2 linked regions of the Daphnia pulex genome follow. The protein of the gene in region 1 purifies or fractionates together with the protein of each later gene. This does not show direct contact. Links are inferred from orthologs where the notes say so. Each region holds a gene or a part of one and is shown on either strand. Other genes may lie near its edges. The genes, in order: pre-mRNA-splicing factor syf1 homolog and RNA helicase aquarius-like.

The links.
Region 2: the proteins of pre-mRNA-splicing factor syf1 homolog (region 1) and RNA helicase aquarius-like fractionate together in Homo sapiens (co-fractionation; 3 studies listed by BioGRID and IntAct, with this or other methods). This does not show direct contact. The link is inferred for Daphnia pulex from reciprocal best matches to the Homo sapiens genes XAB2 and AQR.

The regions. Positions count from the first base shown.
Region 1 is NC_060020.1:2,903,015-2,907,485, forward strand, and holds the start of pre-mRNA-splicing factor syf1 homolog, read left to right. Parts: upstream 1-1,405; 5' UTR 1,406-1,496; intron 1,497-1,557; 5' UTR 1,558-1,714; coding exon 1,715-1,756; intron 1,757-1,824; coding exon 1,825-1,973; intron 1,974-2,057; coding exon 2,058-2,181; intron 2,182-2,249; coding exon 2,250-2,674; intron 2,675-2,747; coding exon 2,748-2,880; intron 2,881-2,945; coding exon 2,946-3,335; intron 3,336-3,400; coding exon 3,401-3,586; intron 3,587-3,654; coding exon 3,655-4,314; intron 4,315-4,373; coding exon 4,374-4,469; intron 4,470-4,471. Other genes in the region: pre-mRNA 3'-end-processing factor FIP1-like, read right to left, coding at 1-102, 191-403, 462-698, 765-973, 1,104-1,227, 1,292-1,378. UniProt on the Homo sapiens protein: Involved in pre-mRNA splicing as component of the spliceosome. Involved in transcription-coupled repair (TCR), transcription and pre-mRNA splicing.
Region 2 is NC_060021.1:10,929,609-10,934,078, reverse strand, and holds the start of RNA helicase aquarius-like, read right to left. Parts: upstream 2,966-4,470; 5' UTR 2,858-2,965; coding exon 2,759-2,857; intron 2,708-2,758; coding exon 2,450-2,707; intron 2,381-2,449; coding exon 2,174-2,380; intron 2,097-2,173; coding exon 1,919-2,096; intron 1,849-1,918; coding exon 1,670-1,848; intron 1,669-1,669; exon of another isoform or gene 1,555-1,668; coding exon of another isoform or gene 1,414-1,554; intron 1,350-1,413; coding exon of another isoform or gene 1,202-1,349; intron 1,140-1,201; coding exon of another isoform or gene 1,004-1,139; intron 937-1,003; coding exon of another isoform or gene 761-936; intron 689-760; coding exon of another isoform or gene 90-688; intron 11-89; coding exon of another isoform or gene 1-10. Other genes in the region: probable G-protein coupled receptor Mth-like 5, read left to right, coding at 1-10, 90-688, 761-936, 1,004-1,139, 1,202-1,349, 1,414-1,554; DNA-dependent metalloprotease dvc-1-like, read left to right, coding at 3,822-3,997, 4,056-4,167, 4,227-4,346, 4,412-4,470.

The sequences.
Region 1 (4,471 bases):
TGGCGGCATACCAAATGGAGGAGGTAGAGCCATATTTGGAAAACCAGGAGGAGGACGTGAGAAATCGATCGATACGGGAGGTTTCTCCACAGGAGCTTCAGGCTGATATTAAAATGAAATTTAAATAATAAACTTTAAAGTTTTTTGGTTGACTTTGGATGAATATTTTATTAAGGATACGGGGCCTTACCACTTCGGGAGGTTGCTCCTCCATAGAAGGAGCAGGTGAAACGCCTGATTCTGGTCGGCGTGAAGATAGATTCCCTCCACCAATGACATCAATGGCACCAGCCATTTTGCGTGCTGGCGGAGGGCCTGCTTTTTTCACAACCACTGACCCCGCATATTTTGAATTTTCGTTAACCACTGATATCGGAATCGCTTGGGCCGGGGTCGCCATCATCTGAATCAAAAAATAATAATATCGTCTTTGAGCTTCATTTGTTTACGTATTTTATTACCTTGGGTGGGGGTCCTAATCCAAGGCTAGCCGGAACACCAGCCCCAGACTCCATACGGGATCGCCTTTGTCTCTCACAATATGCTTGCCACGTTATTTCATTGAAACCGTAATTAAAATAATCAGTGATATCAGCACCAGGCTTCCTCCAAGGTTTATCTTCCAGCGAATCCAAACTAAATTCATGTGCTGGTACACCGTTAATCGCCATTGAGCCTTCGAACTCTTCCACAGTGAACTTAAGATAAGATACATATGTTAAAAACAAACTCTTGCATCAAACATGATGTAGCTCAATGTATACTTTGCTCTTTTCCCCCAATCCTTGTGCCGTTGTTCCAGCTGTTCCTCTTTTGACATTAAAACCAGCATAAGCTGCTGGGCCAGATTTTATGTCACCAATCGTGATTTGTACGTCATCATCACTTTCATCATCCTCATCGTCATCATTGTCTTGATCTTCATCTTGTCTCTCATCCTTTTCTTCGTTAGTCTCTGCAGCTTCTTCTGGATCTTTTACAATAGAAAATACAGGATGTTAAAACTGTTATGGGAAAACCAGACAAGCGATTCAACACAGGGAAAGAGACAAGGGATAATAGTTGAAGAACTTTTCCATAATTAAAAATGTACATGAAATTACCATAGCCTTCTCCAGCGTATTCCGTATTTCCGTCATTTCTGTCTATGGCAATATGATCTTCATTTTCGATTTCGTACATTTCTCCATTACCGGTGGTGTCTTGGTCGATTTTTCCATCATCGCCCTGAAAAAAAAAGAGACAAGTATCAATTTCAGTTGACGAACAATAATTTTTTTTTTAAACTCACGTATTCATCTGGTAACTGTTCCGAGGAATAAGGGAATTGTGAATTAGAATTATCTGCCTCATCTGGGTGCCGGACAGTGTCGGCCATATTCGGTTGTAAACAGCAGAAGACCCCACTTCAATTTAGGCCTGAGGGGACAAACAACAGCGAATGTACGCTTGTGGCTTGTCGGCTGTCGCTGTTTCACATCAAACGCAAAAATAAGGTATTTTTACTATAAAAACTTGTGATAATCCATTTTTATAATGATCTCGTTATATAAAAAGACGCTATTAGGGACAAAATTCAACTTTAATTTGGGTTAGACGTAAGTGTGCAACTTGGCAACACTTCACCCGGCAGACGTGCATTTACGTTTGGTTCGTAAATTTATTTGTTAAATTTTATTTGAGCCGAGTGGCTGCGAGAAAATTCATAAACAAAATGGATAAAAGTATAGGGAAGAAAACTGGAGACATTGTTTTGGTAATAATACATTGTTTTATATTGAAGTTGACTAATAGGTTTTAACAATATGTCTTCTGTCTTTAAAGTGTGAAGAAGATTTAGCGTATGAAGAGGAGATTCTACGGAACCCTTACTCTGTCAAACATTGGCTTCGCTATTGCGAGTTCAAAAAGGATGCCCCTCCTGTTGTTGTCAATTTGATTTATGAGAGAGCTTTGAAGGAAATGCCTGGCAGGTTCGTTTGATTGGTTCTTGTAGTAGTACATAGTAAATAAGTTTGTACTCATTTTCAACTATCCACATGTTTGTCTCTTCACAGTTACAAACTATGGTACAGTTATCTCTGCCTAAGAAGGAAGCAAACTAAAGGTCGCTGTATAACAGATCCACTGTATGAAGATGCCAACAATACTTTTGAAAGAGCATTGGTATTCATGCACAAGGTATCTTAAATGCCAATTATATTATTATCACACATTATTAAATACCATGTTTTTAATGAATACCATAGATGCCAAGGATTTGGATGGACTATTGCAAGTTTCTGACTCTTCAACAGAAGATTACCACTACGAGAAAGGTCTTTGACCGTGCTCTAAGAGCCTTGCCAATCACCCAGCATTCCAGAATTTGGCCCCTCTACTTGAAGTTTGTTAAAATGCATCCAATACCAGAAACAGCTGTTCGAGTTTTCCGTCGTTTTCTTAAACTATCGACCGAAGATGCAGAGGAATTTGTCGATTACTTAAAATCTATTGACAGACTTGATGAGGCAGCTGTTAAACTTGCCCAGATTGTGAACAAGGACAGCTTTGTTTCGAAGACAGGAAAATCAAACCACCAACTGTGGAATGAACTGTGCGAACTTAATTCGAAAAATCCCAAGCAAATTAAAAGTCTTAACGTGGATGCAATCATTCGAGGAGGTCTTCGACGGTGAGTGTCTGGAAAAAAATTAAATGCAAATATTTTTACAAACATAGGAATAATTTACTGGATTCTTATGTAGGTACACTGATCAACTTGGCCAGCTTTGGAATTCCCTTGCCGATTACTATATTAGAAGTGGTTTGTTTGAAAGAGCAAGAGATATTTACGAAGAAGCCATTCAGACAGTTACTACAGTACGAGACTTCACACAGGTAAAATACTTTGTGGTCGTCTTATTTAATGCGAATCAAGTTAACGTTTTTCTGATTTACGACAGGTGTTTGATGCCTATGCCCAGTTTGAAGAGTTGAATTTGAATCATATGATGGAAGAGATTGGTCAGAAACCTAATCCTACAGAAGACGATGATATTGAAGTTGAGTTGAGGATGGCCCGCTTTGAGGATTTAATGGATCGCCGGCCCTTGCTATTGAATTCTGTTCTTTTACGTCAAAACCCCCATAATGTCGCCGAGTGGCATAAACGAGTCCAGCTTTATGAGGGCAAACCTCATGAAGTTATCAATACTTTTACCGAGGCTGTCCAGACAGTCGATCCAAAGCAGGCCATTGGAAAGGTGCACACGCTGTGGGTCGACTTTGCCAAATTTTATGAGAAAAATGATCAGATTGACGATTCACGGATAGTTTTCGAAAAAGCTACGCATGTAAGTTGTTTTTGCAGTGCATTAAAAGCCTTTGATCCCCTCATCATTTTTGTGTCACTTTAAAGGTGAAATACGTGAAAGTTGATGAACTGGCGACTGTTTGGTGCGAGTGGGCCGAGATGGAGATCCGAAATTCTCATTTCCAAGAAGCTCTCAAGTTAATGCACCGTGTTACAACTCCTCCTGCACGCAAAATTAATTACCATGATGACGCCGAACAAGTGCAAACACGTGTTCATAAGTCACTGAAGGTATTTTATATTTTTAGCCACTTCCATTCTAATGATCTCTCTACGATTGTCACATTTTTATTTTCTAGATTTGGGGTTTGTACGCTGATCTTGAAGAAAGCTTTGGTACTTTCAAAACATGCAAGGCCGTGTATGACCGTATCCTCGAGTTGAAAATTGCAACACCGCAAATCATTATGAACTATGCCATCTTTTTGGAGGAAAATAACTACTTTGAAGAAGCTTTTAAAGCTTACGAACGTGGCGTTGCTCTTTTCAAATGGCCCAACGTGTACGACATCTGGAACACCTATCTCTCAAAGTTTTTGAAACGCTACGGCGGCTCAAAATTGGAACGAGCTCGAGATCTCTTTGAACAGTGTCTTGAGGGATGTCCGAATAAGTTTGCCAAGACTTTCTTTATGCTCTACGCTAAACTCGAAGAGGAACACGGCTTAGCCCGTCACGCTATGAACGTTTACGAGAGAGCCACCAAAGCTGTGCCAGCAAATGAGCGCTTTGACATGTACAATATGTACATAAAGAAGGCATCCGAGATTTATGGTGTGACCAAGACGCGCCACATCTATGAACGATCCATCGAAGAGCTACCCGATCACCAGGCTAGGGAAATGTGTTTGCGATTTGCCGATTTGGAGCGCAAATTGGGAGAAATTGACAGAGCCCGTGCTGTATACGGACATTGCAGCCAAATGTGCGACCCCAGAGTTGCGCCTGAATTTTGGAAGGTATCTTATCTTTTATTCAATTCCGTCCTAGAAAGTTATTCACCCATCATTTTTTTTAGGTTTGGAAAGAGTTTGAAATTCGCCATGGCAACGAAGATACGATGCGGGAAATGCTTCGAATCAAACGCAGCGTGCAGGCAACATATAATACACAGGT
Region 2 (4,470 bases), on another chromosome or scaffold:
ATGTGGACCGGTAAAGAAAAATCAAAACTACTAATTCATTCAACATTTTCATGAAAATGACATGTGTTTTCCATATACGCAAAAATTAGTTTCGAGCCTGGCCCATCTTTACATACGCCGGATTTCAGGAAGATTTACAACTAAGACCTTTCGGTGTCCTGCGTCACGTGGTGGACAAGTTGGCTGAGGTTCCTCGTCACCACGAATATCCACTTGATCAGTATTGCGTGGACGGTGTTAGACTTTTGGGATCCGTGTCACATTTCGGCCACGGATTACCAAACGGTGCCGAAAACACAAGTTCAGCACCGTTGTCGCCTCCGTCAGACGGCCCGGTCTACTACGCTCTCATCTGCGAGCCGGGCCCGTTGGATGAGAGCGACTTTTTCGAAATGTTTGTGCGAATTTTCTACCCCATCGGCTTAGGTGTCGGCCTGTTGGTATTGCTCACGCTAACCGGAATTCATCTCGTTCTCAAAGAATTACGGGATCTGAGTGGTTGCATGCTCATTAGCCTCGTCGTTTCAATGATCGTCACCATGATTAGCAACCTAATTCTCTCATCTGCCGATTCTCGACCTAGTCCGTACCTCAATTTACTTTTCTTGGAGTCGGTGGTTCATGGCTCAGACGTTGCCGTTCATTTTTGGCTCAGTGCCATCGGACACCGAGCATGGACGGCCGTCAGGTAATCTAAATGAAATTGATATCACTAATACTTCAATAAAACCAACGACTTTTTCTTTCTACAATTTGATAGATACCCACGGAAAGAAGCCATGCGACCGGAAGGAAAGCGCTACGTTTTTTATTCACTGTATTCGTGGGGTTCAGCGGTTTGTGTGACAGGTCTAGCGGTTATGGTGCACTTTTTCATTGAAGACCAGTCACACGGGACCACTTCACCTCACAGTTTCTTCACTTGGTACAGAATCGGTAAGTAGAATCGCGAAACAAGTTTTAAGCGAATTTCACATTGCTAAAAGGAAATCATTTTCTACAGGGTGGTTGGGATTAGCCCTATTCTGCTCGACTTGCGTCTTCCTTTTCCTGGTCAATATTTACGTGTACTTTGCCACTCGCTCTACTCTTAGTAATCAGACGGCCTACGGACGGACATTTCACCGCACCAAGGGATAGTAAGAAAAACCTGATCTCCTTTGAGTTAAAGAAATGTAATTAAAACATTCATTTGCATTAGCTTTCAGGCTTACACCCGTCTCTTCCTCATCATCGAAACCGTTTGGATAATCCAAACATTTTCTTGGTTACAATATCCTATTTTAGTCGGCCTACGGATCTTGGCTGACATTGTACTGCCTTTTCTAATTTTTTGGGCTGCCCTCAAAGTAAAAAGGATGGATGATAAGCACGTTAATTGGAGGCGAATCTAAATTATTTTTGATTTTACAGGGACGCCGCGTCATGCACCTTTTGAAAATACGCCTGCAAATGTCGCAATGTTGGCTTTGTCGCCGCTGCTTCCCACCGAAAACAAGAGATCGGGGACACTACTACGGCGAAGAAATGATGGCCCTCGGAACTCCGATCTAGCCTTGTTGTTTAACACTGCGTGGACGATGCTTATTCTTTCTTTTGTACGTTTACATAACTCGAGGCGCATTTAAAAAAATCGCAAATGAAATACACTGAAAGTGAAAACACTGACCTGCGAGAATAGTTTCCCTTCAGTTCGTTGATTCAACATTGACAGGTGGCAACGCGTGACCAGATGACAATCGTCCATGACGACATTGAAGAAGCGGCGAGTGGGCAGTAAAGCCTCTAAGTCAATCAGTAACTCCAAAAAACGTTCGCAATAGTGAACTGCTTCTACGTCGATGTCTCCTATACGTATCATTTTGGAATAACGCTTTAATTACAATTCTCAAAATCGTATACAATAAAAAATCTTTACCTTCCAACGGAATAGTAGCTAAAAGGGAGAGAAATTTGTGCATCAAACGCTGAAGGAATCTTCGCTCAAAATCAGCTTTAGCTTTGGAATCCTCATTCTCTTTGGAGTCTTTTTTCTGAATAACTTTCCAAAACTTTCTGAGTTTAGGAAAAGCATTGAGTTCTTGTTCTCTTCTTCCCTAAAATGTATTCAAGATATTTTTTAGTAATCTCTTGAATTGTCTGAAAAAGATGTTTTTACTGTAATCTTACTGACCTCTGGTAAACAAGTCCAAATAGACAATGAGACCAATTTCTGAACTTGATCACGGATCAGATCGATTTCAAGGCTATTGAAACAATGGTTAAAAAAGATGAGGATCATGGTTCGTTCCTTAAAACTAAGTCCCCATTTTTCATCAAGGGACATTTCCATCAGTTGTTTAAAAAGGCTCGGAAAATTTTCTGGAAGTTTTTGGAAAATCTAAAACAAAAACAACATAATAAATAATGTAAATTAACATATTATCTGAATAACAGAACTAACACACACCTGCCATGCTGATACACGTTCTCTGAATTTTTCATTAACCATGATTACTATTGATAACACATGTGACGCAGAGGAATTATCGGGTTTGTAGTTTGGCCACAAGTAATTTTCCAGATACTGGCTAAACTCAAGCATCATGATCCGGCGAATCATGAATTTTGCACCTTGAACTTCTTGGTGATAAATTTGGTCAACTATGCTGGCGTCGAAATCCATGTGATTTCCACATGTTTGTGGTGCCCAGTATTTTGATGCAACCTGAAGAAAATGTGTTAGATAGTGAAGGATTTGATGCAACAGATTTGTTACCTGTGTGATTCGATCAGAATTGATTTGATCGACTGTTAAAGGTGTTTTATTCTCATTGTTCTTGTTACTCGAACCATCGTTTCGATCTTTGCTTTCCATTTTGTAACAATATATACGTTTTAAAAATGCCTGAAACGTCAAGCAAGTTATCAGCTTGAAAAGTTGAAAACTCGGATGGCGCCTAGTTGCCACAGAAACCGGCAGCAGACGATGAAACCCAAGCGGCGGCTCTGGACACTAAACAAAGCGGTCGATTTGTTTTTTTTTTTTCGTTATGTGATTTTCAGAACAACTGAACAAGTTTTGGAATCTGTTTTACATACAAGTTTTGAAAAAAAATATTGCATATCTGCTATACATCAATATATAGTCAAATAGTAAACCAACAAACAATAAATAATTCCTTCTGAACTATTAAGCATCCGGTTGCTGTAAGCCTGTAAAGGATGTCTATCACAAAGGTTGTAACCCGTTCAACCTCAGTGATGACTCTGCTAGTTAGTCTCACGCTCCGAAGTAGTGTCATTCAGACGTACGATTAACCCCTGATTGAGTATCGTGGCCCGTTACCGTTCACTCGGCAACGCAAAGTGGCTCAATTAAGTTCCAGTATGCAGCTCAATGGAGTACGAGCGTGTACCAAGCAACCTTATAAGCCAAACAACCTTCCCCTTTGGCCTATTTCAATATATTTTCTTATTAAACTCTAAAATTAGGATTTATTAAATTTAAGTGTAAATACGACGTTGCCACCCGCCATTCTCCTTATTTTCCAAAAAAATTTCTGACTTTTTTTGAGTAATTGGTAAAGTGAAAAATAAATTTTATTTTTCAAAGAGGTGCCCAAAGGATTAAATCCTTGAATAATTATGATATCAGTAAACGTTTAAAATCTTGATGTATGGCGCCCGCTGCCTGTGTTGCCACAGAAACATTAGCAGACGAAATCAAGAACTTCAACGATTCAAAAGTTTGTAAATAGTTCCGGACTTCCGGTGACTTTGATCAGTAATTCAGTACTCCATTGGCCACTGCACATTTTGTTTTAAATCAAGAACAGTAAATGAGTTTGATAAGCAAACAGAAAAATGGAATGTATCCCAACTCTATCGTGGACGAAGAATGGGAATATTTGGATCCCACCCCCGATATTCATAGTCTGTTTCTTCAATTTGATGATCGCTTTTTTTCTAGCCAGCTAAAAAGTGTTGTGGTGAAATGGAGCCCGAGAATGACTGTGTATAGTTTGAATCAGTTCAACAACCATAGAAGTGTATTCTAATGAATTTGTTTGTAGGTGTGCTGGTTTGTGTAGGTATGAAGGAAGGAGATCTGGGCATTGCTCCATCAGCCTTAGTGTACCACTTTTGAAATTGAGACCAAGAAAGGATCTTGTTGAAACTCTTCTGGTAAACAAATAATTTCCTTAGAATTAAAATTTTTATACTAATACTATTATTTCTAATAGCATGAAATGATCCACGCCTTCCTGTTCCTGACGAACAACAACAGGGACAGGGATGGCCATGGTCCAGAATTTCAATTTCATATGCACAGAATCAACCAAGAAAGTGGAACTAAAATCACAGTAAGCCCTGTATTTTCTTTTAGACTTTTTTATTGGTTAAAATTAAAATATTTATTCACTCTCAGATTTATCACAGCTTCCACGATGAAGTAAAACTGTACAAACAGCATTGGTGGAAATGTAC